Linked DNA regions of Lonchura striata. The protein of the gene in region 1 purifies or fractionates together with the protein of each later gene. This does not show direct contact. Links are inferred from orthologs where the notes say so. Each region holds a gene or a part of one and is shown in the gene's direction. Other genes may lie near its edges. The genes, in order: MPHOSPH6, EXOSC3, EXOSC6 and EXOSC8.

What was found.
Region 2: the proteins of MPHOSPH6 (region 1) and EXOSC3 purify together in Homo sapiens (affinity purification with mass spectrometry; 6 studies listed by BioGRID and IntAct, counting the BioPlex papers as one, with this or other methods). This does not show direct contact. The link is inferred for Lonchura striata from reciprocal best matches to the Homo sapiens genes MPHOSPH6 and EXOSC3.
Region 3: the proteins of MPHOSPH6 (region 1) and EXOSC6 purify together in Homo sapiens (affinity purification with mass spectrometry; 3 studies listed by BioGRID and IntAct, with this or other methods). This does not show direct contact. The link is inferred for Lonchura striata from reciprocal best matches to the Homo sapiens genes MPHOSPH6 and EXOSC6.
Region 4: the proteins of MPHOSPH6 (region 1) and EXOSC8 purify together in Homo sapiens (affinity purification with mass spectrometry; 4 studies listed by BioGRID and IntAct, counting the BioPlex papers as one, with this or other methods). This does not show direct contact. The link is inferred for Lonchura striata from reciprocal best matches to the Homo sapiens genes MPHOSPH6 and EXOSC8.

Annotation. Positions count from the first base shown.
Region 1 is NC_134615.1:19,495,064-19,502,385, reverse strand, and holds the start of MPHOSPH6 (M-phase phosphoprotein 6), read left to right. Parts: upstream 1-4,253; 5' UTR 4,254-4,328; coding exon 4,329-4,379; intron 4,380-7,322. UniProt on the Homo sapiens protein: RNA-binding protein that associates with the RNA exosome complex. Involved in the 3'-processing of the 7S pre-RNA to the mature 5.8S rRNA and play a role in recruiting the RNA exosome complex to pre-rRNA; this function may include C1D.
Region 2 is NC_134609.1:7,919,340-7,927,170, reverse strand, and holds EXOSC3 (exosome complex component RRP40), read left to right. Parts: upstream 1-4,781; 5' UTR 4,782-4,795; coding exon 4,796-5,062; intron 5,063-5,149; coding exon 5,150-5,299; exon of another isoform or gene 5,300-5,329; intron 5,330-5,842; coding exon 5,843-5,994; intron 5,995-7,408; coding exon 7,409-7,610; 3' UTR 7,611-7,706; downstream 7,707-7,831. Other genes in the region: DYDC1 (DPY30 domain-containing protein 1), read right to left, coding at 770-850, 2,180-2,290, 2,423-2,569. UniProt on the Homo sapiens protein: Non-catalytic component of the RNA exosome complex which has 3'->5' exoribonuclease activity and participates in a multitude of cellular RNA processing and degradation events.
Region 3 is NC_134615.1:16,645,877-16,652,558, reverse strand, and holds EXOSC6 (exosome complex component MTR3), read left to right. Parts: upstream 1-4,493; 5' UTR 4,494-4,567; coding exon 4,568-5,386; 3' UTR 5,387-6,084; downstream 6,085-6,682. Other genes in the region: AARS1 (alanine--tRNA ligase, cytoplasmic), read left to right, coding at 1-176, 600-708, 1,363-1,476, 1,753-1,872, 2,336-2,422, 3,804-3,917, 4,173-4,358. UniProt on the Homo sapiens protein: Non-catalytic component of the RNA exosome complex which has 3'->5' exoribonuclease activity and participates in a multitude of cellular RNA processing and degradation events.
Region 4 is NC_134604.1:65,418,007-65,425,708, reverse strand, and holds the start of EXOSC8 (exosome complex component RRP43), read left to right. Parts: upstream 1-4,683; 5' UTR 4,684-4,703; coding exon 4,704-4,720; intron 4,721-6,385; coding exon 6,386-6,422; intron 6,423-7,430; coding exon 7,431-7,494; intron 7,495-7,702. Other genes in the region: ALG5 (dolichyl-phosphate beta-glucosyltransferase), read right to left, coding at 300-392, 1,620-1,688, 2,358-2,404, 3,246-3,387, 4,400-4,483. UniProt on the Homo sapiens protein: Non-catalytic component of the RNA exosome complex which has 3'->5' exoribonuclease activity and participates in a multitude of cellular RNA processing and degradation events.

The DNA of each region.
Region 1 (7,322 bases):
CTTGTAAATCCAGCCCAGGGAGTTTCTGGTATTTAATGTTTGTCACATCCCACTGAGGGCAGAGCCCCACACGCTGCCCTGCAGGACAGAGCTGGGCAGGGCAGCAGATATGTTAGAGATAAACAGAATAAACAACCTTTAAACCAGCACAGATGAATTATGACTTCTTTGGCAATGAAAGAGAGAGACTTTTTACAATCTCGGAATCATCAATACCTCAGATTCCGACATCCATGCACCAGATGCATTAGCGGCTCAGAGCAGGGTGGGAGTAGGAGAGATAAAAAACGAGTCCTCCACATGAAAATGGCACCACTGCCACTCTCTCCGTGCAGCACAGGGGACAAAACTGCTTTCCCAGTCACACCCAGCCACACGCAGCGCTTCACGCCTTCCTTTCAGGTTTGCAAACAGATCTCCAGCAGCTCCACTTCTCAATTTCTTCTCCTCATTCATAGAGAAAAACACATAATGTCCTTACTTAAAACACAGTGGAGGAGTTTGACACAAATTAATGATTCCCCTGTCATACTTCAAGAATTTTGATATTTGCAAGGAGGGGAAGAAGGCTTCAGGTATTCTGAGAGCTGTAAAAAGCTGCCTCGGAATTCAAAGACAGCTCATAAGAAATCAAATCAAATCAACTGATGGATTGCTGTAAGGTTTGAGATACCCATTTAACGCTAAAATCACACTACTGTATCCCTGATTTTTAAGATTTTATAAGCCTTCTGAGTTTACATTCTTGTAAAAAACTTTCTCACCAATTTTCTGTAAATAACCTATTGTTTTACATTCCTTCATAGAGGCAGAGATATTTGATGTACTAGTAGTTTATCCAGTGTCATTGGTGAGGTAGTATGTTCACCCTCCAATCCAGTGTCACCTTTAGAAAAACATAAATGTTAAAGTCAGAAATAAAACCTCCTCTTTGTTACCTTTACAATAGCAGCAGCTTGCTGCTATTCATACTTTCACGTGTCCTATAGTGACACACTACTACAGTAATAAAATAATAATAAATAAAAAGTTATGGAAAAAGTAAGCCATGAGTTCCCTCAAATTAGATCCCATTGGCATGAAATTACTTCACAGCTGCCACATGTGTTGCTCCAAGAGAGATTACTCCTTAAATAATGTTAATGACAACTTTGATTTGACTTTTGTAATTACTAGAGGGAGAAGAGACCACATTTCCTAGGAAGAAAAATCTTTTATCTGCTTGTTTAATGTACAATCTTTGATGAGATGGAACTCCTTTCCCCCAAGTTATTTCCCGAGTATTTTTGTTTTGAAAAAGAAATTGGTTTCCAGGTTGAAAATGGAGCTGCTGTGCAGCACTCAGCTGTGGGAGAGCATCTAATTGTCATTTACAATGACCCTTGTCTCTTCTCTAAACATAGAGAGATTATTTTTCTCTCCCAACTCTTCTCACCCTCACTCCACAAGCAGGTGTGTTTACAGGGCTGGATTCTTCTCTGAGTTACCTCCATAACTACCAGTAAATCATAAAAATTTCTCCTGCAATCAATGGACTGTCTTCACATTTACCAGACAGCATAATCTGGTCCAAAAGGCAGCTGATTGTTATCTATAACCTCCCCATCCAATTCAAGTGATGGGAGATGCAACCCAAAAATTTCCTTTGGGCTTTTTTACTGCCAAAATAGATCACATTCTTTGGCAGCCTTTTTACAGTCTCCACTTTTCTAAATAAACATCACAGAACCTATACTGCTTTTACTGCAAAATGCTTCTCCCTGCCTGTATCGAGGCAGGTTTTTAGCTGATGTGCCAACAGACAGTGACAGAAACTCTGTGCAAGCCTGGGGTGCAGCACCAAGACACGGGGTGCAGTGGGGACCAGGGAGCACCAGGAATAATCTTCATGGTTAGATAAGGTGAAAACCCCTTGCACTCCCCCCATCCCAGTTAGACATTGCATGGTGATGTAAATTATCAGAATGCAGCTCCCAGAGAATTTGGGGGCAGGATGCTCCTTCTCAAGAAAGGTAGAGAGGAACTGTGGTGTGCAATGCCCAAATCCCAAACAGGCTGTGAGCAGAGTCTGCTGAGGAATTGTTGAGCTGGGATGTTCTGCAGGATGGAGGGACAGAAACAGCTCTTGAAAAGGCCACCAAGCAAAGCCAGGCTCTACCACAGCGCAATGGCTGCAGAAGTGCTGAGGAGAGCACAGTATTTAGAAGAAATCATTCAAAGTACATTCCCGGACTGTAAATGGACTGCAACTGCTCAGAAAAGCCCTGACGTTGAAGGTCATGCAATTTAACACAGGGCTCTGATTTGCAATGAACAACAAAAAGTAAATGCATTATTAAAATGCATGGCAAATAGAACATACAACCAAAAATGACAGATTCTGGCTGTACTGTGCCACTACATTAATTAACAGCTTTCCCCTATTGGTTTGCTCACTAAGATTCAAACATATTCATTCTTTGATGAACATTTGTATTCAGAAAATGGCAAATTTCTTCCCAGCTTTCTTTTGTTGGGAAGGGACGATAGCTGTTAATGGGAAAGGGAACAGAGAAGGAGCCAAACAGCACAGCTGCCACACTCACAATGTGACTTTCTCACTGGGGCCTTGAACTTCAGAGCAGCTTCAACTCATTTACAGAGCCTGGGAGTGAAGGTGCCTTCCCTACATGAAAATTAAATATTTTCACGCAGTGTTATGACTTTGCCTTGAAGCATTTGTGGCTCCATGTTTCATTGGCATTTGTGTCATTTTAGTCCACTGAGCTTAAATGTGTAATAAGGATGCCTGGATGTGGATAATTCTCCCTCCTTTCCCACTGCAATCAGGTTTTGTCCTTCATTATACCTTTCTGTAGAGTCTATTAGAGCATAAATCTTTACAGAGTTCTTCAAGCTTTGACCTACATCTTGCATATACGGGAACTTTTCTCCCTAAATTGTCTTTGGGAGCACACCAGTTCATTAAAGTTTTGAATGCTGAACCCTCACTCTTATTGCTTTATCACCCAGTTTATGTGCCAAATGTCAAAACAGGCATCAGAAATCTGATTTATGAGGATATATAGAAAAATTGTGGTACATGCTTCTGACTGGGAGTCAGCTGGCAATTCCCTATCAGAATTTCCTCCTCAGCTCCCCATGCCCAGCAGGGCAGTCCAACACCAGCGCTGCCTACACTGAATTCACAAATCATGATTCAGGACTAACAAAGCTTTGAGACTTTTTGTAATATCTTTCAATTTGTGTGTTTTCCAGTTTTAATCACATCTGACTGTTTTGTGATTTTCTTTTTAATAAAAGTCAGTGCTGATTGTAAAAAAATAAACGCCTATAAAGTCAAGCAGTCTCCAAATACCAGTGTGGGAAGAATTTTATACTCTTTTTGAAATATCAGAAAATTATGGATGAAGCATCAGCAGTACTACACAACACACAAGCATGGATAAGGCATGTTCACATACTGATTTACCATGTCATACCAGAGCGGAATTATGTCCTGCTCACACCCCCGATCTCCCTGTGAAAAACACCAATCATTTCGTTGTTAAAATTTTAAAAGTTTAATAATAATAAAATGGTTATAAAAATAGTAATACAATTAGAGTAATAAAGTTTAGAGTTAGGACAATTACAAGACAATAAAAAACAAAGAATTATGGACGTCCAGATGCTCTCGGACACTAAGTCAGGAAAAGCATCCTTTGTGAGCAAAGGAATAACCTTAAAATCAATAGCCTGTTGCATATTCATATAACCTTCCTGGTTATGCATACATTCTATTTAAAACAAGAACTCTGTCTGTTGTATGTCAACTGTTTCCTATAATCCCCAAGGCGTCTTCGAGTCTGAGCAAGGCCTGAAGAAATTAGCTTCTTCTGATAAGAAAACCATAAATTCCTTTTCTCTGGAAGATTTAGGTGTTAAATGAAGTATCTCATTGCTAAAAGAAAAAATTCCCCCCACATACAGTCTCTATTTTAACATTATGTTGGAACCTAAAACTATATTTAACACGCTACTTAAGAGAATTAATACAGCATAACTTTCTAACATTACACATATAGTAATATTTGCGAAAAGCCAATCATAAAATATGCATTTTTCACATCCCCCAGCCCGCACAGCCGTAAAGTTTATTTCTACCGCTGGTTTCGCACCAGCAGCGCACCCCCCGGCCCCGGCGGCTCCCGGGCCGTGGGCAGGGAGGCGGCCCGTGCCCGCGGCCGGAGGGCGGAGCCCGCCGCCGCCGCGCCCCGCTCCTCCCGCGGCGTGCGCGGCCTCGGCGCTACGCGAGCGCGGGGATCCGCCGCGGCCTGCGGGCCGCCATGGCCGGGGAGGTGAAAACCAAGCTGTCCAAGAACCTGCTGCGCATGAAGGTGACGGGGGAAGGAGGGGAGGGCTGGAAGCGGCGGCCCGGAGGGCAGCAGGGGCAGGCCGAGCCGTGCCGGCACCCGTGGCGAGCGGGGCCCGGCGCCGTGAGGCGCGGCCGGGGTGCGGAGCCCCGGTGTGGGGCATTCCCGTGCCCAACCCCGGCCACACTTGGAGCCCTGGTGTGGGGCATTCCCGTGCCCATCCCGGCCCCACACGGAGCCCTGATGTGGGGCATTCCCGTGCCCATCCCGGCCACACTTGGAGCTCTGGTGTGGGGCATTCCCGTGCCCATCCCCGGCCACACACGGAGCCCTGGTGTGGGGCATTTCCGTGCCCATCCCCGGCCACACACGGAGCCCTGGTGTGGGGCATTCCTGTGCCCATCCCGGCCACACTTGGAGCCCTGGTGTGGGGCATTTCCGTGCCCATCCCAGCCACACTTGGAGCCCTGGTGTGGGGCATTCCCGTGCCCATCCCGGCCACACTTGGAGCCCTGGCTCTCCTCAGCCAGGCGCTGAATACAGATGTGGTCATCCATGTGTTATCTCGGGCTGCTGCCCCGGCAAAGACATCGCTGGTGCCAGAAAAAGTCTGGGCTCCAGGGCCAGCTCCAGCGCATCTTCTGGGAGTTCTTCGTTCCACCTTGCTCTTCTGCCTCTGGGTTGGTTGTTGTGGGTTTAGATAAAAATATTTCAACAGCACTTTGAAATAAAGGTATCAATGCTGCTTGCTTTGCGTGGGGCTTTTAGTATTGAGGGAAAAGAAGTTTAGGTTTTGGTGTGAGCATTTTTACCTTGCTGGCTAAGGAAATCCCAGCCTGAATGGGGATTAATATCCAGTATTTACCAGCTTTCCCAACTCATAAATGCCAGGGATCTTAGTAACATCCCGATGTGCTTATTGCCCTTGGTATTGTGAATTTCATGTCACCAGTGTGAAATTAGTCTCTGCTCACTGGCTAATGCATTGTGCTTCACACCATGTACTACAACTCCTAATTCAGTAGAGTACATTCTCTGATTGATGGTCCTTTATTGCTGGAAAACAACCAGAAAAAGTTGAGTACTTTTTTTTTAATGTTAATATTCAATTTTTTAACTGAACATGATGGGGCCTTCGTGGCTTCTTGCTTGTGGTGTTTTATTTAGCCATTTTTTCCCTACGTATTTATATGGGCCTATATTTCACATTCTGGCTGAAAAAAGAGTTAGCTGGCTTCAGTTCAATTTTTCACATAAAGTGCACGCTGCTACAGTTGGATGATGGAATATTTACCCTAATTAATAGATACTTCTAAATCTAAAACTTGTACACAGAAGGAATAAAATACATCTTGCCTCGCTTTCAAAAGGGAGTAGATGTTGAACTTGAGTCAGCCAGCAATATGTGACACGGTCAGTCAGACTCCCATAACCTGGATGGCAACATCATTATTTTTTTCTTGTTTTTATATAATACTCCTTTAAAATGAAATTTTTCTTTGTTTTTTGCCACTATACTAACCCCCTGGAGATTTCAAAAGCAGGGTTTTTTTATTGTTTTTCTCTGGAAGGCCATGGAGAACCAGCCATGTGCATATGCTGCCATGACATTTGCAGGTTCACAGTCAAGGCAGTGATAACCAGCTTTGAAGAGATCAGTAGGTTTTGAAAAGGTCATACACAGATCTTGCATTTAGCACTTTGTTTCTGCAGATCTTCCTGTTTACAAATGTTTTAATTAAGCCTTTAGCAGCTGCCTCTGCAGGTAGTGATCCAATGTATTACCATGTGGCACCCAGAGGTGACATGTGGTTGGTGGTGTTGGAAGGACCATTTGCAATAAATACTGGAGACAAATGGACACAGACTTTAGATCTTGTACCATTTGGTCCAGGTCTCATAGCTTGGGGAAATACACCCAAACAGCTCCTCAGATACTGACTTATATATTCCGTGCCTACCACAGCGGGTATATTTTTAATTCATCAGTGTGTGTTTACATTAGAGAGAAACCTGATCACATAATTTTTATCTAGGTTTTTCCTGTAGTAATCTTTGGCAACATAATCTTTAAAATGGAGTGTGAAATGATTATTTAATTGGGTTCTTGTAGCAGAATTTCTTGTGTTGAGGTTTCTGACTGGCTAACCAATTTCCTCGAGCAGTATGTTTTTCCACATGATAGATTCACTTATTTTCCTCAAGAAGATACTGTAATTTTAATTGGAAAGCTTTGACATATTCTGAATCGACTCAGAAAACAGAAGTCAATTTTTCTTTCATTAAAGATCTTGTACAGTGGATGCAAATAGAAATAGAAATGGAAAATAAATCACTAGCTCTGTTGGCTCGTACTTCTGAGTTTGTTTTGGTTGGGCATTTTGTAAAGACTGAAAATACATGTGGGTTGTTCATAATACATTGCACACCTGTACCACCTATGTATTCTTAAAGGACTGTGTGTGAACTGTATTGTTAGACTTGCCACTGTCTGGGAGTTAGGTTGGTATAAATGTAGACCTCTGACAGGTACAGTTATACAACCACTTTCTGTAGATCCTCAGGGAGGTCTCAACTTCCAGGAGGGTGGGATTATATGGATTATCACCATAAAATTTTGAAGAGTCATGTTTTTTCCCAGCATATTTCATTGACATTGTTTAGACTTAATTGTCACTCAGTTCAGGCACCTGACTTGAGACAAATGGAAATTAAAATGCTGTTTCACAGGTCTCAGGTCTGTAGTTCTGTGCTCTCAGCAGTTTTTTATAGGCTGTGACAGATGTCTTCTTCTACTCCCAGCTGTTGAGAGGTTACTGTTTTACCTGTCTGTTCCCATCCTTTGACAGAGGTTATCACCAAGGAAGCAAGTGACAGGAGTGTCCTTGTATTAGAAAAAAACAGCAGACTTGCCGTAAATTTCCTTCTTGGTCTCAACTATTTTGCCAGACTGTTCTGCAGTGAGTT
Region 2 (7,831 bases), on another chromosome or scaffold:
ACACTTTAGATAAGTTCTATACAAATTTAGTAGTACAGGAACATGGTCTTGGTATGCTTAACCCTGTTTTTTGGTTTTTTTTAATTAAAAGCAATTTAAGATTTTCACATATTCATCTTTTCTGTCACTTTCATATACTCATCTTCCTACAGTTGTGTTTTGCCAGTATTTTAACAGCTTTCTAAAAACTTAGGTTCCTAAAATACTCTGTGCTCTGCAGAGTTTTTAAAGCTTTATGGAGATAAGCATGCCAATTATCCATGTATGTTTTTACTGAAGCAGCATTAAAAGACCATAAACACGGATAAGTGTATACACACTCTTCTGTTGGTACAAATTCCCATACACCACTAAGAAATCAGAATCCAGATGCATTGCAATTTCAAACCACAGCTCTTTTTCCAGGTATAGTAAATGGATTTTGTGCTAACCCCCTGTAAAATATTACTGTGTTGGTACTTAAATTAGACATTCTTATTTTAAAAAACTTTCAATACCATCAAGAAATGTGGAAGCATCAGGTAAGCTGACCTTATACTGGATTTTTGCAGTAAATTTATGTTCTGTTGTGACCAAAATTCAAGTATAAAACTCAGACTGCTGAAGCCACGTTAAGACATTTCCCCCATCTACCTACACTCCTGTTTCTTTATTTATGTGTTAGTTCAACACCCATGGGTTCTGCTTTGTGTTTTGTATTTGATGTCTGCTTCTGGAAAAATGACTGATAAATGGTATTTTCAAACCACCAAGTAAGCATTGGTCAAACCTCTTGATCTTCCTGCTGCAACTGCATTTCAGCTTCTTTTTTCTGTGCTTCCAACTCTGCAAGTTCTTTCTCCAATTGAGCCTGCAATCAGTTTAAGAAAGGACAAATTATAAAGGAAACAAGCCCCACATTTATCTTTTTCACCTCATTGTTTACAAAGTATTTAATATTGAAATAAAAAAGTAAACATAAAACATAACTGCTATGTTATGCAAATAATAAAGTCCTTTCAGTATCATCTGGTTTGACATTTTCAAAGGTTTGAGACTCTTATGGATAAAGAGGCTTTACTACCAAGAGGAAGATAAAGCAGTTAAGTGAAGTTAGTGTACACACTTCAGATCCTGTCTCATTACACAAGCTCTTTATCAATCTGTATTAGTTATCTCCTATCCTTTGGATTAAGCTCTTTGATACTTTGTGTAGCACCTAGCACAGATGGATGAATCAATATAGAATCAAATCTATAGAAAAATTTGGCAAGCAATGTCATTAGCATTAATCATGTCCATCAGCAACCTTTAGTACTTACAACTGGAAATATCTAACGGGAAGTGTTTATTAATTGTGAACATAAGTCCTATCACATCCAAACTTCAGAAACTGCATAATCTAAGTATTTACATTCAACAACCTTAGCAAATACTATTTGCTCTTGCATTCTGTGAGTAGTTACAATTATGGTCATAATTTTCTATTCCTTTATGGTACATAAAAGCAAAATTTACCTCAATATTTGACTACAGCCAAAACTGAGTTAGGTTAAAAAAAAAATGTATCTAATGTGAGTATAATTCTCAGTGAATTATCTCTGGACACAATCTCTTTATTTTCATTTACTATTTTATATCACTCATGAAACCCTTAAGCACATTACTCTTAGTTTGTAAATTACTAAAGGCCAAATTTTAAAACTGCAAACGAAATAAAATGAATGCATCTTACACTAGAGCTGGGCATAATGTGATCAGCATAAATTTAAAATTAAGCTTTTGATTTTAACTTTATGAAAGTCATCCATACAAGAAAACCAGTCAGGTCACACCAACATCACTATGTCAACACTGAGTTCATATGATTCCTTTACAAAGAATGGCTAAAAACACAGATATTGTATTTACTTCTGATACTGTAAGCCCAAACAGTATTTTCAGTTACTTCTCACGTAACTCCTAAATTGGCTGCCTTTTAACTTAACAGCCATCATTTTTTAATAACATTTTACTCCATAGTATGTAACTTTTCCTACCCATGTGCTGACTAATAATTTTAGTTACTCAGAAAAGTGAGATTGAAATACTTGCTTTATGCCACCTTTATCAAAATCATTATATAGCTATTAGAAGTATACAAAGAGCTCCAAGATGCCACAGCACCATATGCTGCTTGGAGTTATCTATTATTAATAACCTGACGTTGTTCTTCAAGTTTCCGCTGCTCTTCTTCCTGGATTTTTAACCTTTCAAGTTCTGCTAGGGCTGCCTCCCGTTCTTGCTCTATCTCAGCTCTCTCCAGCATTCTCTATTTCAGATGTAACACAGAATCAATTAAACATAAAAATGAAAGATATATTAAATAGCATCAACTATATTGTAGCAATCTTTTTTTTTTTCTTTTTTTTTTTTTTTTTTTTTTTGCCTAAGTTAGATCTACCTTTTTTTCTTCATCTAAGTTTCTTCTGTAATTGTAAATCCAGTGTGCAAGATACTCTATTGGATCTGCTGGCCGATGCTCTACAACCTCTGCCAGTCCCTTCTTCAAACAATTTCCCAGGCATTGCTTCAGATACTGAGACTCCATCCAAATCTACTGACAATAAACAGACAGACATTAGACATCAATGTTAGAATTAAGTTAGGGGCTCTAAGAACTCTTGCTTCAGGTGCCAAACACTGATTATGACAATACTTTTTACTAAGCCTTCAATTTATACAAGAAAGTTATTTAGCAGTAATTTAGCTCTTAAAGGCGCCAGTGACAGCTCAGTTATAACAATCACTGCAGAAAAAAAAAATGCTTAAACCCCACCTTATTGTTTGGACATGTATAATTCATAAAGTACTTGGAAACACACTGCTAATTCTAGGGCTGCATGATAACAAAAAACAAAAAAAAACAAAACAAAACAAAAAAACCAAACCAAACCAAAACAAAACAAAAAAAACAACATTGAAAAGCACAACAGGACATTAAAAACTTCTATGCAGAGAACAGGCAACTAACTCTGAGGACAATTAAGGGTAATTTTAGTTTGAACTGTCAAAGCTATCTTTAAGAGATGTGTGCAAGGCGAGGGTCTGAACGCTCTACAGTTACGAAAGGCACAGATCTCTGCACACACTCCACCAGCCCAGTCTAAGTACACAGGAGCCGTCCTTTGCTGCCAAGGGGGCTGAAAACGTGCCAGGGCAGAGAGCCCAGGCAATGAATTGACACAGTGACTACAGCCCATCCTCCGCGTTCACGGGGGCTCCAGGTGGCCTTAGTGTGCCCACCCTCGTAACCCGGAGCCGCCGCCCACGCCCCCCTGCCCGGGCTCCTCAGCCCTGCCCCGGGGCGCGGAGCCCGTTACCCGCCTCCCTCACACTCCGCCAGTCCCCGGCAGCCGGTGCTGCCTGCTCCGCTCTGCTGTAGCCGCCCGCCTTCCCTCGGACAGCAGCTCCCGGAGCGCCGGGGCTGCAGCCCCCGGCCCGGCCCGGCCCCGCTCCGCTCCTACCAGCGCGCGGGGTTGCTCCGCAACAGCGGCGGCAGCGCAGCGGCCCCAGCGCCGCCCGCAGGAGCGGACGGAGGGGTGAAGGGCCTGGCCGGAAAGGTCCCCGAGGGCACAAAACCGGGAGGAGAGGCCGAGACCTCAGAGGGTTTTGTGGCCCTTGAGAGAGACTTGAAAAAAATGGAGTTGAATGAGCAGAGAAGAAACTGAAATTCAGCTATGGCAAATGCAGGGTATTGCACGTGGGGAGGAATAATCCCAAGTGCTGGGGGTAATCTGCTGGGGAGCAGCTCTGTGGAGGAGGATCTGATGGACAACAAGGTCTTGCAGCAGTGCCCTTGTTGCCAAGAAGGCCAATGGTACCCCCGGGTGCATTAGGAAAAGCACTGCTAGCATGTCAAGGGAAGTGAATCTGCCCGTCTGCTGAGGTTCTGCCTGGAGTGCTGTGTCCAGTTCTGGGCTCCGCAGGGACAGAGAGACATGAAGATCTGGAGTGGGTCCAGCAGAGAGCTATGAAGATCATTAAGAGACTTGGGCATCTCTTATAAGGAAAGAGAGAGCTGAGCCTGCTCAGCCTTGAGAAGAGATGCTTGATAGAGGACCTTATTAATATGTATAAATATCTAAAGGGGAGGTGCCAAGCTCTGCTTCGTGGTGCCAACCACTAGGACACCAAGGAATGGGCAGAAACTGATGCATAGGAAGCTCCATTTAAACAGGAGGCAGAACTTTACTTTGTGCAGGTGACCACACACTGGAACGGATTGCCCAGAGAGGTTGTGGACTCTATCTAGAGATACTGAAAACTGTCTAGATGCAGTTCTGTGCAACGTGCTCTAGGATGACCCTGCTTAAAGCAGGGAGGATGGGCCAGATGACCCATTGTGATCCTTTCCAACTGTTTTAATACCATCTGTCTGTGAGCAGTTTCCCTTCACAACTGATGTGATCTTTTTTGCTCCCTGCCAAACTCATCGGCTGACGGTCACCTCATATTTACCAGCTGTTTGTTTTGCTGTCAACTTCTAATCGGGTATTCAAAACCCTTGTAACTGCAGCTGGAAGAATTAGCTCCGTGTGTTTATTAATTCCGACGCGTAAGTGCGAAATGAACATCACCTTGGCCGCCCCCCGGCAGAACTGGAAGGCGGGCTGCTTCCCGCAGGAAAGGCAGGCGGCTGGCGGAGGCGCCGTGAGCGGCGCGGGGCCGGCTGCAGCTCGGGGACCGGCCGGGCGGTGTCGCTGGCGCGCCGCGGCCGCTCCGCGCAGGGCGCGGGGCGCAGGGCGCAGCCGCCGCCCCGGCCCGAGGCGCGGCCATGGCGGCGGAGCGCGGCGCGCCGGCCGAGGCGCTGGTGGGGCAGGTGGTGCTGCCCGGGGACCTGCTGCTGCTGCCCGCGCACTACGACGAGGACGCGGAGGGCGAGCGGCTGCGGCTGAGCGCGGGCACGGCGCCGCAGGGGCGGCTGCTGTGCGGGCCGGGGCTGCGGCGCAGCGGGGCCGGGCTGCTGGTGACCAAGTGCGGGCTGCTGCGGCACCGGCCCGCGGGCGGCGGCGCCTTCTGGGTGGACTCGCAGCAGAAGCGGGTAGGGTCCGTGTGTCTGTGTGTGTGTCTGTGTGTCTGTGTGTTAGCCCGCGCTCCCCTGACCCTCTGTCCCCCTCGCCCGCTGCAGTACGTGCCGGTGAAGGGCGACCACGTCATCGGGATCGTGACGGCCAAAGCGGGGGACGTGTTCCGGCTGGACGTGGGCGGCAGCGAGCCCGCGTCCCTGTCCTACCTGGCCTTCGAAGGTGCCACGAAGAGGAACAGGCCGAACGTGCAGGTGGGTGCCCTGCTTCGCTGCCGGTGACGCTTCAGCTGCGTCCTTTGGTGGCGCCCGTGTCGCGTTCCAGTGGCTTTTCTTAGGGGAAGTTAGGGGAGGTCTGGTTCTAATGGTTTCGCCTTGGTCCTCCTCAGAGCGTTTTGCACCACTGGCCGCGGCCTCTCTGGGGTTTTTTAGGACCGTAACTAGCGTGGTTTGTTCTCTCTCAGCTGGCTGGGTGCTTCACTCTCATGTGTTGGTTTGCCAGGAGCAGATGCAGTTCATAAGGTGCCTCCGAAAGGGCGCTCCGATGTTAGGGTTTTAAAACGTGATGCTGGTAGAAAATATTAGTTGTGTGGGTTCTTTTAACAGCGCTGTTATGAATGGTTGTGTTGCACATGCATGCCATAGTTTCTGCACTCCCATGAAATGCCATTACCAGAATGTAAAAGGTAAAACTGTAAAGAAAAACAAAATCGGTGTGATATTTTTTATTGTTGTCCTGCTAAATGATTATAAGAGATAAAATCCTGTACTTTTGTTCTTTGACACTGTTTTGTTTAGGTGGGAGATCTTATTTATGGTCAGTTTGTTGTAGCAAATAAAGACATGGAACCAGAGATGGTGTGTATAGACAGCAGTGGAAAATCAAGTGGCATGGGAATAATTGGACAAGACGGCTTCCTCTTTAAAGTTTCCTTAGGTCTAATAAGAAAGTAAGTACTAAAAATGTAATTAGTCACTCTCACGTATAAATTACCACAGCTGTTTCTTCTGAGTAGTGTGGGCAGTTTGGTAAATCAGACTGTGTGATTCTTGTAGTGCGTTGAAACCAGATTTACTGAATAGAGTATGGATTGATCTAGAAGAAAAGTTTATTTTTTCTTTTAAGAGACTTAGAAGCTCTTTTGTATGGTGTTACATCACCTGTTTAAAAATAGTGATGTGGATGCCAAGGCAGTATGGAAAATAAAAGTAGTGTCTTGGGGTAGTCAAACATTCAGGATAGTGTTTCAGCTATGTACATATTACCTTGGAGTTTAAAACTTGGCAATGCTTATTGTCCTTGTTCTGTTTCGTGGGGGTAATAGAGGGTGTATGTTTGGCTGACAGCTGATTAAAGGGATCTTTGCACATCAGTACACATTATTTTCTGACTTCCAAATAAAAATAAATAACATTGAAATACAGATTTTAAAAATGTTGGATTTTAGTTTAAGGCTGACACATAAATCCAGGAACTGTTTCATAAGCTTTTAAATGTATTGTGAACTTTGGAGTTGCTTATGCTGATGTAAATACATGACTTTTTTTTTTGTGACTGTTAAAGTATACCAGATTACATGGATAAACAATAGTCAAAATTTGTTTTTGCTTTTTGGGTGGAGTTTTTTGTTTGTTTTGTCATTCTTTGGATAAGCAATCTGGCACTGCAGAGCAGCTTTTTCATACCTGGCATTGTCTGATTTATATGTCCTATTAGAAGTCAGCATGAACTGATACAAAAGCTTCTTGCAGCCATTCTGTTTTCCAAGTTTTGTCTGTATACAAGTAAAAAAAATAACAGCATATTACAAGTAAACTGCTAAATACTGGTATGCTTTTATTTTTTGTGAATACTTGTCTAATCTTGATTTAATTCTAGACGCATTACAGGATTTAGTATGTTGTCATCTAATAAAAATGAAGTAGGCTATTTATTGCTGTTAATACTGTTTCCTGAAATAGAAGGGAAGTCCTGTTTTGAAAGACACCTCTGGGGTGTCAAATAAATAGCACATCAAAAATGTCATTTGGTCAAATTGTGTACTTTTAGATTTATTTGCTCATAGAATTGTGTGTAAAAGTATCAATTAACTTTAAACTTATCAGGGATTGCTTCTGAATCTAATGACAAAAGTAAATTTATAATGGCTTTATTTTTTTAGGTGCATGCATTTTATATGCCAGGAGCCTTGAAAATCTGATACTGTATTGCTATGTTGGATGTATATAGAACTTTATAATCTTTCAGTGTTTCTTAAATGGCTCCCATAATAGCAGTACTGCTGGAGCTACTGGTCAATAATAATGTGGTCTCTGTAAGCATGATCACTCCTTCCTCTGACTTTTTTTTTGTCTTGTTCACAGGCTCTTGGCTCCCAAATGTGAAATAATTCAAGAGTTGTCACAATTGTACCCATTTGAGCTGGTGCTGGGAATGAATGGAAGAATATGGGTAAAAGCTAAAACAGTGCAACAGACTTTAATTATAGTAAATATTTTGGAAGCCTGTGAGTATATGACTGCACAACAGAGAAAACAAGCGCTTGCCAAACTGTCAGGGAACTGATAAGAGAAAACCTTGAGGATTGTTTGTGATGACTGTAGGGTGTTTTGGTTATTTTTGTATTCAGATTTATATATTAAAAGCCTTTTTTTAAATGAAGTACTCGATTTTGGTTGGTCTTCATTTCCCTTCTTTATCCACTCAGCTTGATTCTGTGTTGTTTAAGGAGTTTGTTTTGACTCGCTTTTGTGGTTATCAAGCCCTGTTTATGTTCATGAATTTTC
Region 3 (6,682 bases), about 2.8 Mb from region 1:
GCCAAGGACTGCCCTCTTGCAGAAGCCAAAGCTATCCAAGGACTTCGGGCAGTTTTTGACGAGACTTACCCCGATCCTGTCCGTGTGGTGTCCATTGGCATCCCTGTGGAGGAGCTGCTGGCTGACCCCTCTGGCCCTGGGGGCTCCATCACCTCTATTGAGTTCTGCGGAGGGACGTGAGTGCCTAGAAAGGCTGGGGAAGGTGGCAGGGTGGCTGAAAGGAGTTCCTGTGGAGCTTGAGCTCCTGGGAGTGTCATGAGCATTCACTGGGCAGAGCCAGGGCAGAGATGGAGGTGGTAGTGATGATGTCTTTGCATTCCCAGTCCTGAGTCAATCAGTCTTTAAAATTACCTTTTGCAGGCAGGAAACTGCCTGTATTGCCCATGACCTCACACAGGGTCTCTGGCAGTGCTGGGAACACAGGTCTTACCACCCTTTCCTCACTCATTTGCTTTCAGCACTGGTTGTTTTTTCTGTATGTCCCCACACTGCTGCATTTCCTTGGCATGATGGTTGTATTTTTTCTTTGCTGATTCTTGCTGAGATGAGAAGTGGACTTCTAACTCTTTCTTGTGGGTCTGTCTGGGTTCTTTCCAAAGGCACTTGCAGAACTCCAGCCATGCTGGCTCCTTTGTGATTGTTTCAGAAGAAGCAATTGCTAAAGGCATTCGGAGGATAGTTGCAGTCACCGGGGCTGAAGCTCGGAAGGTAAGGGTAGGCAGGAGAGATCCTCTGTGAAATTCCACCTATTAACCCTGTGCCAAAGTTCATTTTGTTCAAATTTGCACAATATCCTCTGAGGGACTCATGGAAAAGGGTGCTGCTGTTGCCAAAGACTGTTCTGGAGACACTGGCTGTACTACAGTCGGAGCAGGGAAGAGAGAAGGAAGTCTCAGCTGTAGGTGTTGTGGCAGAGAAACCTGGGTGGGTGTGTGGGATGGCTCCAGGGTTAGCTCAGGTTGCTTTCCAGAGTGGCTGCTGGTGTAGAGCTCTCAGCAGCTGGCAGGGCCAGCAGGAGAGTGGTGAAGTCTGAGAATCCAGTTCTGTGCTGCAGGAGGCAATGACTTTGGATGTGGCCTGGTGCTCCCTAAAGTGGGAGAAAGGGGTTTCATGGGGAAGACTATTTCTCTTTGGGGGGGGATCTTGGCAATCCTGGCAAAGGAAAGAGACCTGGGGCCCATGTGCCACCATCACACCCTGGTTCTGGTCAGATGCTGCCTGCTTTGGCCCAGTGGCTTTCCGAGAGTTACTAAGCTCCATCCTGGGGCATTCCAGCATTCTTCACCTCTTCACACTGGAGTGACCAAAACCCCAGCCTGATCAATCTTCCAGCTTGATTTAACTCAGATTGTATCCTCCTAGGCCCTCAGGAAAGTCGACAGCCTCAGGAAGTTGCTGTCAGCCCTGGAGGCCAAGGTGAAGGTCCAGACTGCTCCCAACAAAGACGTGCAGAAGGAGATCACAGATCTTGGTGAGGTGAGGATGGTAGCAGTACTCTGCCTCCCCAAAGTGAAAGGGACCTTGATTGCCAGAACTGGGTATTAATGAGGCCTGAGTTCACCTTCTGCTCCTGTCCAACAGCCCTGCATCCCATGGGTGCTGCAGCCAGCACCTCTTTCCTCGGGTCACTGGCACTGGGAGAGGAGTGGAGCTTACTGGGCTCTGCCAGCTGAGGCAGAGTTTATGAGGTGCTTCATCTCCTGCCATGATTGCTGGCACCTTTAACCTTCTCTACCTGCTCCTGTTTTGCAGGCTCTGGCCACTGCTATTATCCCACAGTGGCAGAAAGATGAACTGAGGGAGGCTGTTAAAGCACTGAAGAAGGTCATGGATGACCTGGACCGAGCAAGCAAAGCCGACATCCAGAAAAGAGTGAGCTGTGGGCTGGAATAAAGGACAGGGTGGGAGGCCTGTGGGGGGCTCCTTTGGGAGCTCTGATAGTGTTCAGGATGGAAGAGAATTGATGTATGGGCATGCCCCTCAAACTGTTCAGCCTTTCAGCTTCTCCTGCTGCCTCCTGAAGCAGAATTACCTCTGTGCCCATCCCCTGGGTTGAAGCATAGCAGCCTGTTCCTGCTCTAACAGTGGCCCTGGGTGCAGGTTTCCTCCTGGATCCCATTGGAGTTTTCTGGAGGAGGAATCATGCTCGACATGCTGTCTTGCAGGCCACATACCTGCCTGTCAGAGTACATTCCTCCTGGCTTTATAGTGTGAGGCTGCTCCAGGCTGGGCTTTTGGGTGTGTTTGGGCAGCCTGGGGACTTCTGTCCCTGCTCCACCCAGGTGGTTCTATACACAGTGTGGATGATTTAGTGGCTGACCACTGTTGTCCTCAGGTACTGGAGAAGACCAAGCAAGTCATTGAGAGTCACCCTAACCAGCCATGGGTCATCATGGAAATGGAAAATGGAGCCTCAGCAAAGGTATGGGAAAGTCTGATCTGTCCTCAGCAACTTTCCTTCAGCCTGAGGAGCAGCTAAGTGGTCTGTCATCACTTGAGGATGTGGTTCAGTTCTACAGAGCTGTCCCTCTTGCCACCTGCCATCCCTGAGACCTGGGATTTTCTCTTGTGTCCCACCTCCTGGACTGGCACATGGACTTGCTGGGGTGGTGAGGTTTTAACCACTTGCTGAGTTTCCAGACCTGGTGGTAGATAGGGAGCCCAGCAGAAATCCTATTATGTCCCAGCTAAGACTCATCCTGCAGCAGTCATGACACTGAAATGCACTTAAGGGACTGAGAGCAGCAGCTCTGCTAAGCCATGGAAGTTGTGATGCTTGTGGCCCCCGCAGATCAGCTCCAGGCGTGGTGTCCTGGGCTGAGTGTGGACAGGGCCAAGCAGAGAGCTGCCCCAGCACTGTCTGCTCAGCTGAGTTAAAGTTCTCCCCTGGCCAGGGCTGAATCTGCTCCTTCCCTCCTCCACACACAAGTATTTTCCCAAGTGATTTCTGTTGGAATGAATGCTCTGCTGTGTGTGTTGTGCCACAGTGCTGAGCCCAGTAGGTGCTAGGCAGTGGGAGCTGGTTGTGCCTGGGCTTAGACCACTCTGGGCTTAATGCTCTTTTAAAATTTCCTTTCTGAGAGTCTTGGAGCTGATCCTGCTCGCTCTCTGTGGCCACCAGCATCACCATGATACCCATGCTTCTGCTCCCAGTGGGTGCTGTTGCAGCATTTTCCCTGGCAGAAGGGTGCATCCCATGGGATGGCAGTGCTGCAGCCCAGGGAGCTGCATGTTCCCAATCCACACAGAGCAGCACTGCTTTGCTCACCATAGGACCCATTCCTGGGGCTCTGTGCTGCATCGTGCTGTCTGTGTGAGTGAGGGATGATGGTCTCCTTGAGAATAATAGAATGTGTGGCAGTCTCCCTGATTCTTCCCTGCCTGCTGTGTCTGATAACCCTTGCAGGCTCTTCACACTGCGTTTGAGTACTCTTGACTCCCTTTGGAACAGCTGTTCCCTTCTGCTGGGAAGAGCTTTTTTCCCTCCAGCCAGTACACTCAGGCAAAGATTTATTCTGGAGCTCATTTTGCTAATTGCTGTATGTCTCAAGATGGGGAAATAAAAGCATTTTCTCCTTCCTGCCTTGGGGTACACAGGCAGGGTTTATGTCCCCTGCCAAGGCTTTGACGTTGCCAGGAATATGAAAATGGCTGATGTTTGGGAGGACGAGCATTGCAGAGTGCTGCTAGCTGGTTTAATGCAATTCCTAATCCCTGAAGTCTCTGTGGGTGCTGTTGGGGCTGGAGCTGGGCTGGGTGCAAGCACAGAGAGGCAGTCATATAATGATTTTGTTCTCCTCCAGGCCCTGAATGAATCTCTGAAACTCTTCAAGACTAATTCCCCCCAGACTGCTGCTATGCTCTTTGCTGTGGATAATGAAGCTGGCAGGATCACCTGCCTGTGTCAAGTACCCCAGGTAATGCCAAGACTGTGTGCCTGCCTCTCTCTGAGCCTCTGTGGAGGAGCTGCAGCCTCCAGGCAGGAACGTTACGCTGCCCAATTTGATTGGGGTTTGGCAAGACCCAGAGCCTTTTCAGGCTGCTGAAGTGAGGGAAGAGAGGTTATGCTCTGCAAACAGGGAAGGGGAAGAGTCAGGACTTAATGGGGTGGTAGGCATGGGGCAGGGTGATCGCTGTTCAGTGCTGACTGCTGGGTTTCTTTTCCTGCTCAGGAGACTGCAAATAAGGGCCTGAAGGCCAGCCAGTGGGTGCAGGAAGTGTCTGGCTTGATGGACGGAAAAGGCGGTGGAAAGGACATCTCTGCACAGGCAACAGGCAAGAATGTGGGCTGCCTGCAGGAAGCCCTGAAACTGGCCACGGACTTTGCCAGGCTCCGCCTGGGGGAGCTGAAGAACTGACTGAGGGGAGAACCCCGGTCCCTTTGTCTCCCTCCCTCCCTGTCCCCTGCGCGGCTTTGCTGTAATAAAGGCTCCCTGCCCCGCGCTCTGCTCCCCGGCTCTGCAGGCGGGGCGGGCTGGGCTGGGGTGGGATCCCGCTGCCAGTCACGGCTTGTGCCCGCCTCCCGCCCGGGCCCGCCCCGCCGCCGTCTCCCGGCGTGCCGCCGAACATGCCGCTGGATCACCGCCGCCTGCGCGGCCCCGAGGAGTCGCAGCCGCCGGCGCTGTGGGCAGCGGCCGCGGCCGAGGATGAGGAGGACGGGGAGGGCGCGGCGCCGCGGGACCCCTGTGCGCTCCGGCCGCTGTTCGCGCGGGCCGGGCTGCTGAGCCAGGCGCAGGGCTCGGCCTACGTGGAGCTGGGCAGCGGCACCAAGGTGCTCTGCGCCGCCTGGGGCCCGCGGGAGGCGGCCGAGCCCGGCCCGGGCCGGCTGCTCTGCGAGTTCCGCCGGGCGCCGTTCGCGGGGCGCGGGGCGCGGAGCCGGCCGGGCGCGGCGGCGGAGCGGGAGGCGGAGCGGGAGGCGGCGGCGGCGCTGCGGGAGGCGCTGGAGCCGGCGGTGCGGCTGGGCCGCTACCCGCGGGCCCGCCTGGCCGTCAGCGCGCTGCTGCTGCAGGACGGCGGCTCGGCGCTGGCCGCCGCCGTCAGCGCCGCCGCGCTGGCGCTGGCGGACGCGGGCGTGGAGATGTACGACCTGGCCGTGGGCTGCGCGCTGTGCCTGCCGGCCGCGCCCGCCGCCGCCTGGATGCTGCAGCCCGCCGAGCCCGAGGAGCGCCGCGCCGCCGCCCGCCTCACGCTGGCCCTGCTGCCCGCGCTCAACCAGGTGTCGGCCGTGCTGGGCGGCGGCCGGGGCGGCCCGCCCGAGGACTGGGCGCAGGCCCTGCGGCTCGGGCTCGATGGCTGCCACCGGCAGTACCCGGTGCTGCGGCAGAGCCTGCTGCGGGCCGCCCAGCGCCGCGACGCCGCCGCCGCCGCTGCCGCCACCAGTGCCTGAGTGCCCGTGAGACCTGCGTGCCCCGGTCTGCGGGTGGGCATCTCCCAGAGCCCGCCCAAGCTGCTTTCAGTGCTGCCGGGACGCCTGGTGCCTGCTTGATCCACACACCGCTGTTCGGGACTAAAATAAGTTACTTCTAGAATCTTAAAAGTTTGTTAAGTTTAGCTGTAACTGCTGGTGAAGCCCCATACCGAGCCTGATCCATGCCTCATGCTGCTGGAGACTGGACGAACCAACCTTTGCACTGCTGGAGACCCCTCGTGTTGCCCACACAGCTGGAGGCCCAAGGACATGAGACTCTGCTTCCCCCACACACTGCCCGAGCACCCCAGAGTGCAACTCGTGTTGCAGGAGACCATTCTCAACTGGCACCACAGGACCCAAACAGCCTTGCATGCTGCTGAAGCTCCCCAAGAACAACCTCCATACTGCCTCAGCATCCAGAGCCTGTCCAAGGCCTCCCTCCAAGCAATTGCTGGCACTCGGGACCCCACATCTCCACCTGTGCTGGTCACAGCACCAGGCTGAAAGCCTCACTCCAGGCTCCCCACCATATCCATCTGTGCAGGCAGCACCAGACAGGAACCATATAATGGCATGGACTGCACAACCTTTGGACTTCTTGCCCAGGCACTGCTTCAGGTGGCAGAGTTGTGTTTTGTTCATTTTTTCGTAATAATAAATTGTATTTTTTCTGATGAGTCTTCTGCCCGCATGGCCTTCCTGAGGCCTCTGCTAGCCATGAGCAGAGATGGAAAGATGCACTTCTACAGTCGGGGTCAACCCCTCTGCTCCCACTGTCCTTGAGGAGTTCAGGGAGAGCTGGGTGCTTCCTTGGAATCTGATTATTCCTGGGGATGGAGTGGAGCAGGTGGTCTTGTCTGCCAAGCTGCGCCATGGTGTGCTGGTAGGGAATATTCTGGGTATTTTCCATTGGGATACAGGGCAGAGCTGCACTCGTACCTCTGGCTTGAGCTGTAGGAAAGGCAGCATCCGAGAAAGCCCTCAGAGCTGGGGGTTGTGTCTGGCAGCACATAAAATGGGGTACAAAACTGTGCACTTCAGATGCTTAAAAACTGCATTGGAGTCAAATAATCAGAGAAAAGAAATACAATTTTTTTTTTTTCCAATACAATACACTCTTTTACCAGAGCAAATTAGAAATACAGAACACAATTCTGCCAGTGAGAGAAGGGCAACTGAGAAATGAGGGACATGGAACTGAAACAGGACACTGGGGAGCACAGGGGTGACCAGGACTCTTTGGGTGTAGGCCAGGGTCACTTGTAAAGCTCT
Region 4 (7,702 bases), on another chromosome or scaffold:
GATTCGAACATGAGAACTAACATGAATATGAGATTCAAGCATTTTTTTTCCACTTTGAATTCTTGTATTAAAAAAAGTCTTTGGTGTTGATCTTTCTGGAAAGACAACACTGCTACCAAGATCTAAAATAAACTTACTTTGAAAAAAATTTTTGCTTTAATTTATAGAATCTGTACTCAGTTTTTGCCTGATCCATTTGTTAATGCATTGAATTCAAAATGTCAGTCAGCACAGCTCTATCTTCTGCATATTTGGGCACAGGTACTTCAAACAGAGAAGGAGATGAAAGTATTAATTACCGTCCTGACTGCTCCCCCTTTCCCTCGATTTTTTTCCAAAGATATCACTCGCACTTTGTCACTTCCATATTTCTTGCAGTACTCCTTTGCAACCTGACAGATACACAAAAAGCCAGCATAAAACAAAACTAGGAACCAAGGGACAAGTGTACATTTGCTCACCCTTCAAAAGAAAATAAATTAATAGCACAGAGCTATAACCACTTCAGTCGGCACAAATACATTGCCAGTGTTCGCTGGAGCCTGTTTGGGAAAATAAAAAACAGTCCACGGTTAAAACAAGAAGACTGAAGAAATGAAGTAATGTTCATTAAGAACAGGATATTTCCCGAAGCAATTCAACCCCCATCCTCCCACCTCTATGAAACTCAATCCTAATTTAATTTATATCATACTATTACAGATCTTTTCTATTAACACCAATAGTTCATAAAAGAAATACAATTTTCTATGACAGCCATCTATTTCTCACTTGTCTTGCTGCTATTTGTGGTTTTGAAGAAAAATTCATGTTGATCTAAAGCCATATTCACACTGCAAGGATCTGAACATTTTGGTATATGTTGTGGGGAAGAGAAAGCTTGAGTTTTCTCCTAATTTTTTCTAAAGGTTGTCTTGAGGTCTTTTATGTCCAGAGGGCTGCAGCCATTGTATGCTCAATTGAAAGAGATAGTAGAAAGAATGCACAGCAGTCAAAATTATATACCAGCAATTCTTAAAGCAATATACATTTTAGTCTCTACCTCAAACATCTTCCAAGCAGTAGGAAAGAAAACCCACAAGCTGGCTAGCCTTCCTTGCCAGTAACATAGATCAAAATTGAAGCAGAAGAATACAGAACTATTTTTTTTTACAGAAAATACTAATACTAGCACATGGTTTTTTAAATTAACAATCCCAAAAAGGGTGTGGGAAAGAACTGTGTCACTTGTTCTGTCACAGTATGAATGAGACATTTTAAAAGTCTTTTTAGCTTCCTCAAATTCCTATTCACATCATCACTATGCACATGTAGAGTATTTCAAGTGAAATTTCTTGAAGTTAGGATTAGAATTCTTAGAACCACAGCTGCAGGAAAATGGCTGTCACAGCTGCCAATCAAGAAAACTAGAATTTGCAGAAGAATTGTATGTGCATTCATGTGCATATGTGCCATCCATGATGCAATGACAGAGATAATTCAGATATGTGAACTTCAACTGTCAACTATTTCAAGTACCAAAATATAAATATAAACCACTGTTATATTCCACAAAGATACAAAAATCCAAACAAAATTCCACGCCTCTGATTGCTTGGGAAGACATTACTTTTTCTTACCTTTGCAGTTTGATCTTTACTACCATCATTAACCACTATCACTTCATAAGTGAATGAAGGATCTTGTTTCTTGAAAATAAAAGCAGAAATAATGCATTTCATCCAATTTCTTAAGTAGGCAGTAGGTCTTTCAAACATCATTATTCTTTTCTCCCTACCACAAATTCATAGTTGCCAACAGATACTAATATGATGCAGTAAATTTGGTAAGATGGCATAGCTACAGAATTTTGCCATATTTGATGCAGGTACTGTAACATTGGCTTGTCATGCTACCATCTAGAACTGAAAAATCAACTTAGCAGTAGAAGATGGAAGCTCAGAAAAACATAACTTTTAAAAAAACCTAAACAAAACAAAATCCACAAACTTTTACAATGAGCTTCTTACCCAGGGAACAAATTCTATTGAAGAACAGATGCTTAAGAAACTTGTTGGAACAAACCAGGACGTAGTTTAGAAAGTTAAATGCATGGTTAATCCTTAGCTCTGTCTTGGGCAGATTTCATGTATATGAAGATTGTTTCATCCTATAGTAGCATACTAAATTTTTACTTAATTTAAAAATCCTTTCTGGCACTTGATCTAAAAATTACTGATAAGAGACAGAAGCATTATTTCTAAGTGGCCAAGTACTACTGTTTTAATGTACACTAATATAACAAAGTGACTAGATTACCAACTTGTTATATATAATACACAGGAAAATAATGAATTTTGAATGCAAAAAGAAAATACCTGTCTTTTTTCTAGATAATCCAAAGCTTCATCCATCATAAGTGGTACTAGAGAAAAGGTGGAGGAAGTCAGGTTAGTAGATTGTAACACCAAAAGCACCTGCACAAGCAAGCTGAAAATAGCCACAAAGCAAGACTGAGCAAATCAACTCTTTCATACAACACTACCTTCAGTAAACAAGCTTAGCAGCTGCAACTCTAAGTGCTGTCCTTTCTGAATGCAGAAAGAACACTGAAGAAAATCACACACGTGATAAAAAGAAAGCATAAAAACTTTTATTCTGAGGAACCAACTTTATATTTTAAAGTATATAATTCTCTGCACAACATTAAAGGAAAAAAAAAATAATTCTTTATGACTGACACTGCAAAGCACCACTGACTATCTATTTAAACAAGCTGTCAGCTTGTGTACTGCCACATCAGCTTTAGAGCTTGATTATTTCTATCACATCTAAAAGCCTTCACTCAGTATCAGGTACTCCTATCTATGGCCAAGTCAAACACAAACCCCTGAGACCATCCCTTTTTCTGCTTGTCTGAAGCTGCTGTAGTTGTTTAAAGAGTGGGAAAATCTCAATTTAAAAGTATTTTACTACTTCTTGCCTTGCAGCATGTGCAGAGGCAATGAACAGCCATTCTTCTGGGGTTCATTAAAATTAAGAGGATTCTTACAAGTGCTCCATGCTATTTTTAGCAGTAGAAATCAAGTTCCACTATGCCTTAATTTTGAAATTCAATGTACTTGGACTGTTTTCTGGAAACTGTGTCCAAAATCTGATACATAATCTGGTCTGCCAGAATCTACTGCTAATGCAACTGACCTCTGCATTATTACAGTAACAACAGATAGCTTTTCTTCTTTTCCTCAAAACTAGAAAAATCTTACACCGGTTTTCCTCATTGTATGAAGGCACAACGACAGAGAGTTCTCTTGTAGCAGGATCATGAATATTTGGTGCAGATCCTTTCCTGCACTCAGCATCTTCGTGTGGCATTGTTTTGGCAGTTACATGAGCGATTACACAAATCTGTGATGAAGAAGAAATGAAAAAAGTTGTCAAGCATTGTTAAAAGTTTATTTAGTTGTTAAATGTTCTACCAGGGGCAACTAAGTATATTTCAGTAATAAGGTGGGTCACTGTTGTGGAATTTCACACAGGACCAAAACTCTCTCATGCCGTTTGGTTACTCCCACTCTGACCACTGTCAGCATCATTGGCTTGCTGCTGTTTTTAACTGCAAAGCATGCAGATGCTTCCAAAGCTGTGGTCCGAGCTCCTTCCCCAAGTAACCTTGAGCACATAAGCAGGTGCCGCCTCTGATCCCCCACCACGCCACTGAAATCAATGGCAAAGCTGAAATCAACGACCAGACAGCCATGTGTGCTTGCAACACTAAGGCTCTGATTGCTTTATGCGTGGATAAAAAAAAGTGGTAGAACTTGGGTTCTGTAGCACTTTTACTTGGCGATACCACACACAGAATAACTTAGGTTGAAAAAGACCTCTGATATCACCGATGCCCCAACAACACCGTATCGATCAGACCAGTGCCAAGTCTAGTCTTTCCTTAAACACCTCCAGGGACGGTGCCTCCCCCACCTCCCTGGGCAGGATGCATACGTGGCACTGTGGACAGGCAACAGAATTTCGCTTTCCAGGGGCTCGACCTTCTTAATCTCGCACGACATTTCGGATACGCAGAAACACAGCAACTTCCCAAATGGTTAACGCGAAGGCGTTACCAGGACATTTCCCAACACGTAAGGTAAGGCTGAAATGCTCCGTCCTGGCCCCCTTTGCCAGGCACGGTAGCCCACGCCCCGCCGAAGCACATTCCCCGCACAACCCCCCGCAGAAGCGCAGCGCTGCCGGCTCCAGCCGCCCGGCCCGGCCGGCCCCACGGCCTGCGGGGCGCGGCAGGACCGCGGGACCCCGGGCGGGGCCGGACCGCGCTGCCCCGCGCCGGGGGGCGGCACGGGGCGGCCTCGCGCGCCGCCCCCGCCACGGAGCCCCCGGGCCCCCCGTGCGCGGCTCTCACCAGGACGAGCAGGAAAGCGGCGAGGGCCGCCAGCGCCAGCGCGGCTGCGGGCAGGGGCAGGGACGGGAGCGGCGGCAGCGCCATCGCCCGCGGCAGCCGCGGGGCCCCGGCGCGCCGCGACAGCGACGCGGAAGCGGCCGCGCCGCCCGCCGGGTGCCGCTGGGAGCCGCCGGCGCCCCCCGGCGGTCAGCGCCCGGCAGCGCCGCCGCCCCCATCGCCGCCGCCGCCGCCGGTCCGCCCGCGGAGGCGGCCGGGAGAGCGGGCCGCCAGGGGGCGCCACATCCGGGGCGGAGACGGCACCGCCATGGCGGCAGCGTTCAAGTAAGTGCTGGGCCCGGCGGCCGCGGTCCCGCCGGGCCCGCCCCGCGGGTCCCGCCGCACCCGGCGTCCCCACCGCCCCGGCCGCGCGGGGACCCCCGTGGGCTTTATCCGGCCTCCGCCCCGGCCGCGGGGGGACCCCCGTGGGCTTTATCCGGTCTCCGCCCCGGCCGCGCTGGGACCCCCGTGGGCTTTATCCGGTCTCGGGCCCGGCGCGTGCGGTCGGTGCCGCGGGGGCTGTGGAGCCCCGACGCTTGCGGGAAAAACTGAGCGAGCGGGGTTTGGCCAGCCGGGAAAAGACCCGGCAAAAAGCCCGAGCGGAGCTCGGTGAGGCCCGGAGCTGCCTGGTAGCAGAATTGCAGCCTGCGCCGAGGTGGATCCTTAGAGATCAGCGGGTCCAGCTCCTGGCCCGGTGCAGGATCCCCAGGAGTCACCGTGTGCCTGAAGCGCTATCCAAGCGCTTCTCGGACTCCGGCAGTTTTGGTGCTGTGCCCTGGGGAAGTTCCAGGTCCAGTGCCCAGACACCCTCTAGGCGACAAATGTTTTCCTACTGTCCGACCTAAACCTGCCCTTACACAGCTGATAGAATTATAAGGAAATTAACACGGTAAGGAATTCAATGACTTCCCATTTATAACTATTCGTTCTGGAATAGTAAAGTGGTTTGGGTCAGAGGGGATTTTCCCAGATCATCCAGTTCGAATCCCTCTGCCGTGGGCAGGGACACCTTTTGCTAGGGCCCCATCCAGCCTGGCCTTGAACACTTCCAGGCACGGGGCACCCACAGCTTCTCTGGGTAGTCTGTCCCAGCATCCTTGATTCTATTGTATGGCTTAAAAGCATCAAGCCAGGTTTAGCAAGTGCTGTTACCTGAACTGTAAAACAACAGACCTTCTGTTGGGTTTATAATCCAGTGGTACAGGACCAACACGTGTGGAGCCAGCAGGAGCCCATTCATGCTGGCCATTATGTTCGTGTTGCCTGTATCTTAGTTTGCATTTGGAAAACTTGCCTATTCCACTTTTTTTTCCACCCCTGTCCCAGAAGCACTGTTTTAACAAAACTGTGAATGCTTTGTTTAAATATTGGCAACATTTTTTTTAAAAGCTTTTTTTTTCCTTAATGATTCCCGCATAAAATACTAATGCACAAGTACTGTTACTAGTGTATGATTAGTAATAAGCATCAGTTATGTCTCATCTGAAGCACTGCATGAAGCATATTTTGTATTTTGTTAAAGATTCTAAGAAAAACTGAATAATTAAAAAAATCTATACAATTTTCTGCATCTGAATGCAGTCCTTGGACTTACAGATATTTCACACATTGTAGTAAAATTTTCATTTTTGCATTCCTTGAAAGGCAAAGTGTTTAATGACTCATTTGTCACTAAACACTTCTTTCGATTAGAGCTAATAGGATTACTGAAGTGAAAGCTAGCAATTTTTGTTAAGTGTATGTGCAGGCAGTTTCCTTATATGGAATGAACAATTTGGGACTGAACTTAGGAAAACATATTTTTTTTTTAGATTATTTTAAAATTTCCTCATTGTTCTTTAACTGTATTGGTAAGCAGCTTTGTCAAGCATCTTGATTTCCAGATTTTTTTTTTGTGCATCTTGCTTACTCAGGAGCTTACATTTGAAGTTCTCTTTCTATTTGTTCTAGAACTGTGGAACCATTGGAATATTACAGGAGGTTTTTGGTGAGTGAATCATGTATAAATTCCTTGTAGTGAATTTTTTCTTGCTTGTTTCTGCTCTTCTAACTTGTCTGTATGGAAATCTAAAGCTATGGAAATGGAAACTGAAAAAACTAAACCCAAAAAAAACTGTCTGAGCAGGCAAAAAACATCTGTGCTCTTCAGAATGTGTTTTTCTTTCCATCTATGGTGTTGATGCTTTTTCATCCTTGCTTCTTTTGGTCTTGAAAGGAGTTCAGTTTAATTTGACCAAGATGGTAATGCAGGTTTTTGCCTAGTACAAAATTATATCAAACCAGGTTTTTAGATGCTACAAAAATTAGTAACAGATACTATTACTGCTAACCATACAGCAGTAAATGTAACTGCAGAGGAAAACCACTTAGTTTTGTTACCTTAAATTAGTTCAGCTATTACTGAAGTTGTATTGACTTAGAAATGGATCCAGTGTTATTGCAAATTTTGGTTCTCATAATTGAGCCAAAAGTGTTTGCTTTTGAAAAGCTTGAAACTGTTGTGAGTGACAAGTCAGATCTAAAATGACGGAATATTGTTTCAGTTTCTAACATAAGGGTTATGTGCTGTACAGCTTCTGACTGATGGTGTTTGAATGCTGGATTTTCTAGTTTTCTTTAGTTCACTCTAATTTTAAGAGCTCCACTAAACAATGCAGGCAGGTAGAAACTTTCATTTTAAGTTTACCAGTGTGTGTTCATTCTTGGATAATGTTCTTAATCTAGCCTCCTGTAGTACCTACCCTTTAGACAATCAGTCTGTTGTTGTATTGTCTAAATAAATTTAAATTAATTTTAAAAATCAGGGTTTTTTTTTTGCACGTGTACAACCACAAACTATGTATCAGTTGATGAAAAGCCAACTAAAGTATGACTGAGTTTTCCCTAGCATTTTTGAGAAGACAACTTCATTTTTTATGAAGTTCTGTAGCAAAAATATTATTGTGTTATTTGATAAAATATGCTTTCTAATTTGAAATCTGTAATTTTTCTTTAGAAGGAGAACTGTCGGCCTGATGGAAGAGAGTTAGGTGAATTTCGGACAACCACTGTCAACATAGGCAAGTGCTTATGTGGAATAATCATAATGGGGGAGGTATTATTAATATCAGGTTATAGTGGTGATCTTAATGACTTACTAATTGGTTTTCTTCGTTCTTGCATTTGTAAACCAGGAAGAGGAAGGATTTTTCTTTACAGTTTCAATAAGGATGAAAAAGAGTATGTGGTACAATAATATCCTTGAGCATTGTTTCCAGTCCTGTTCCT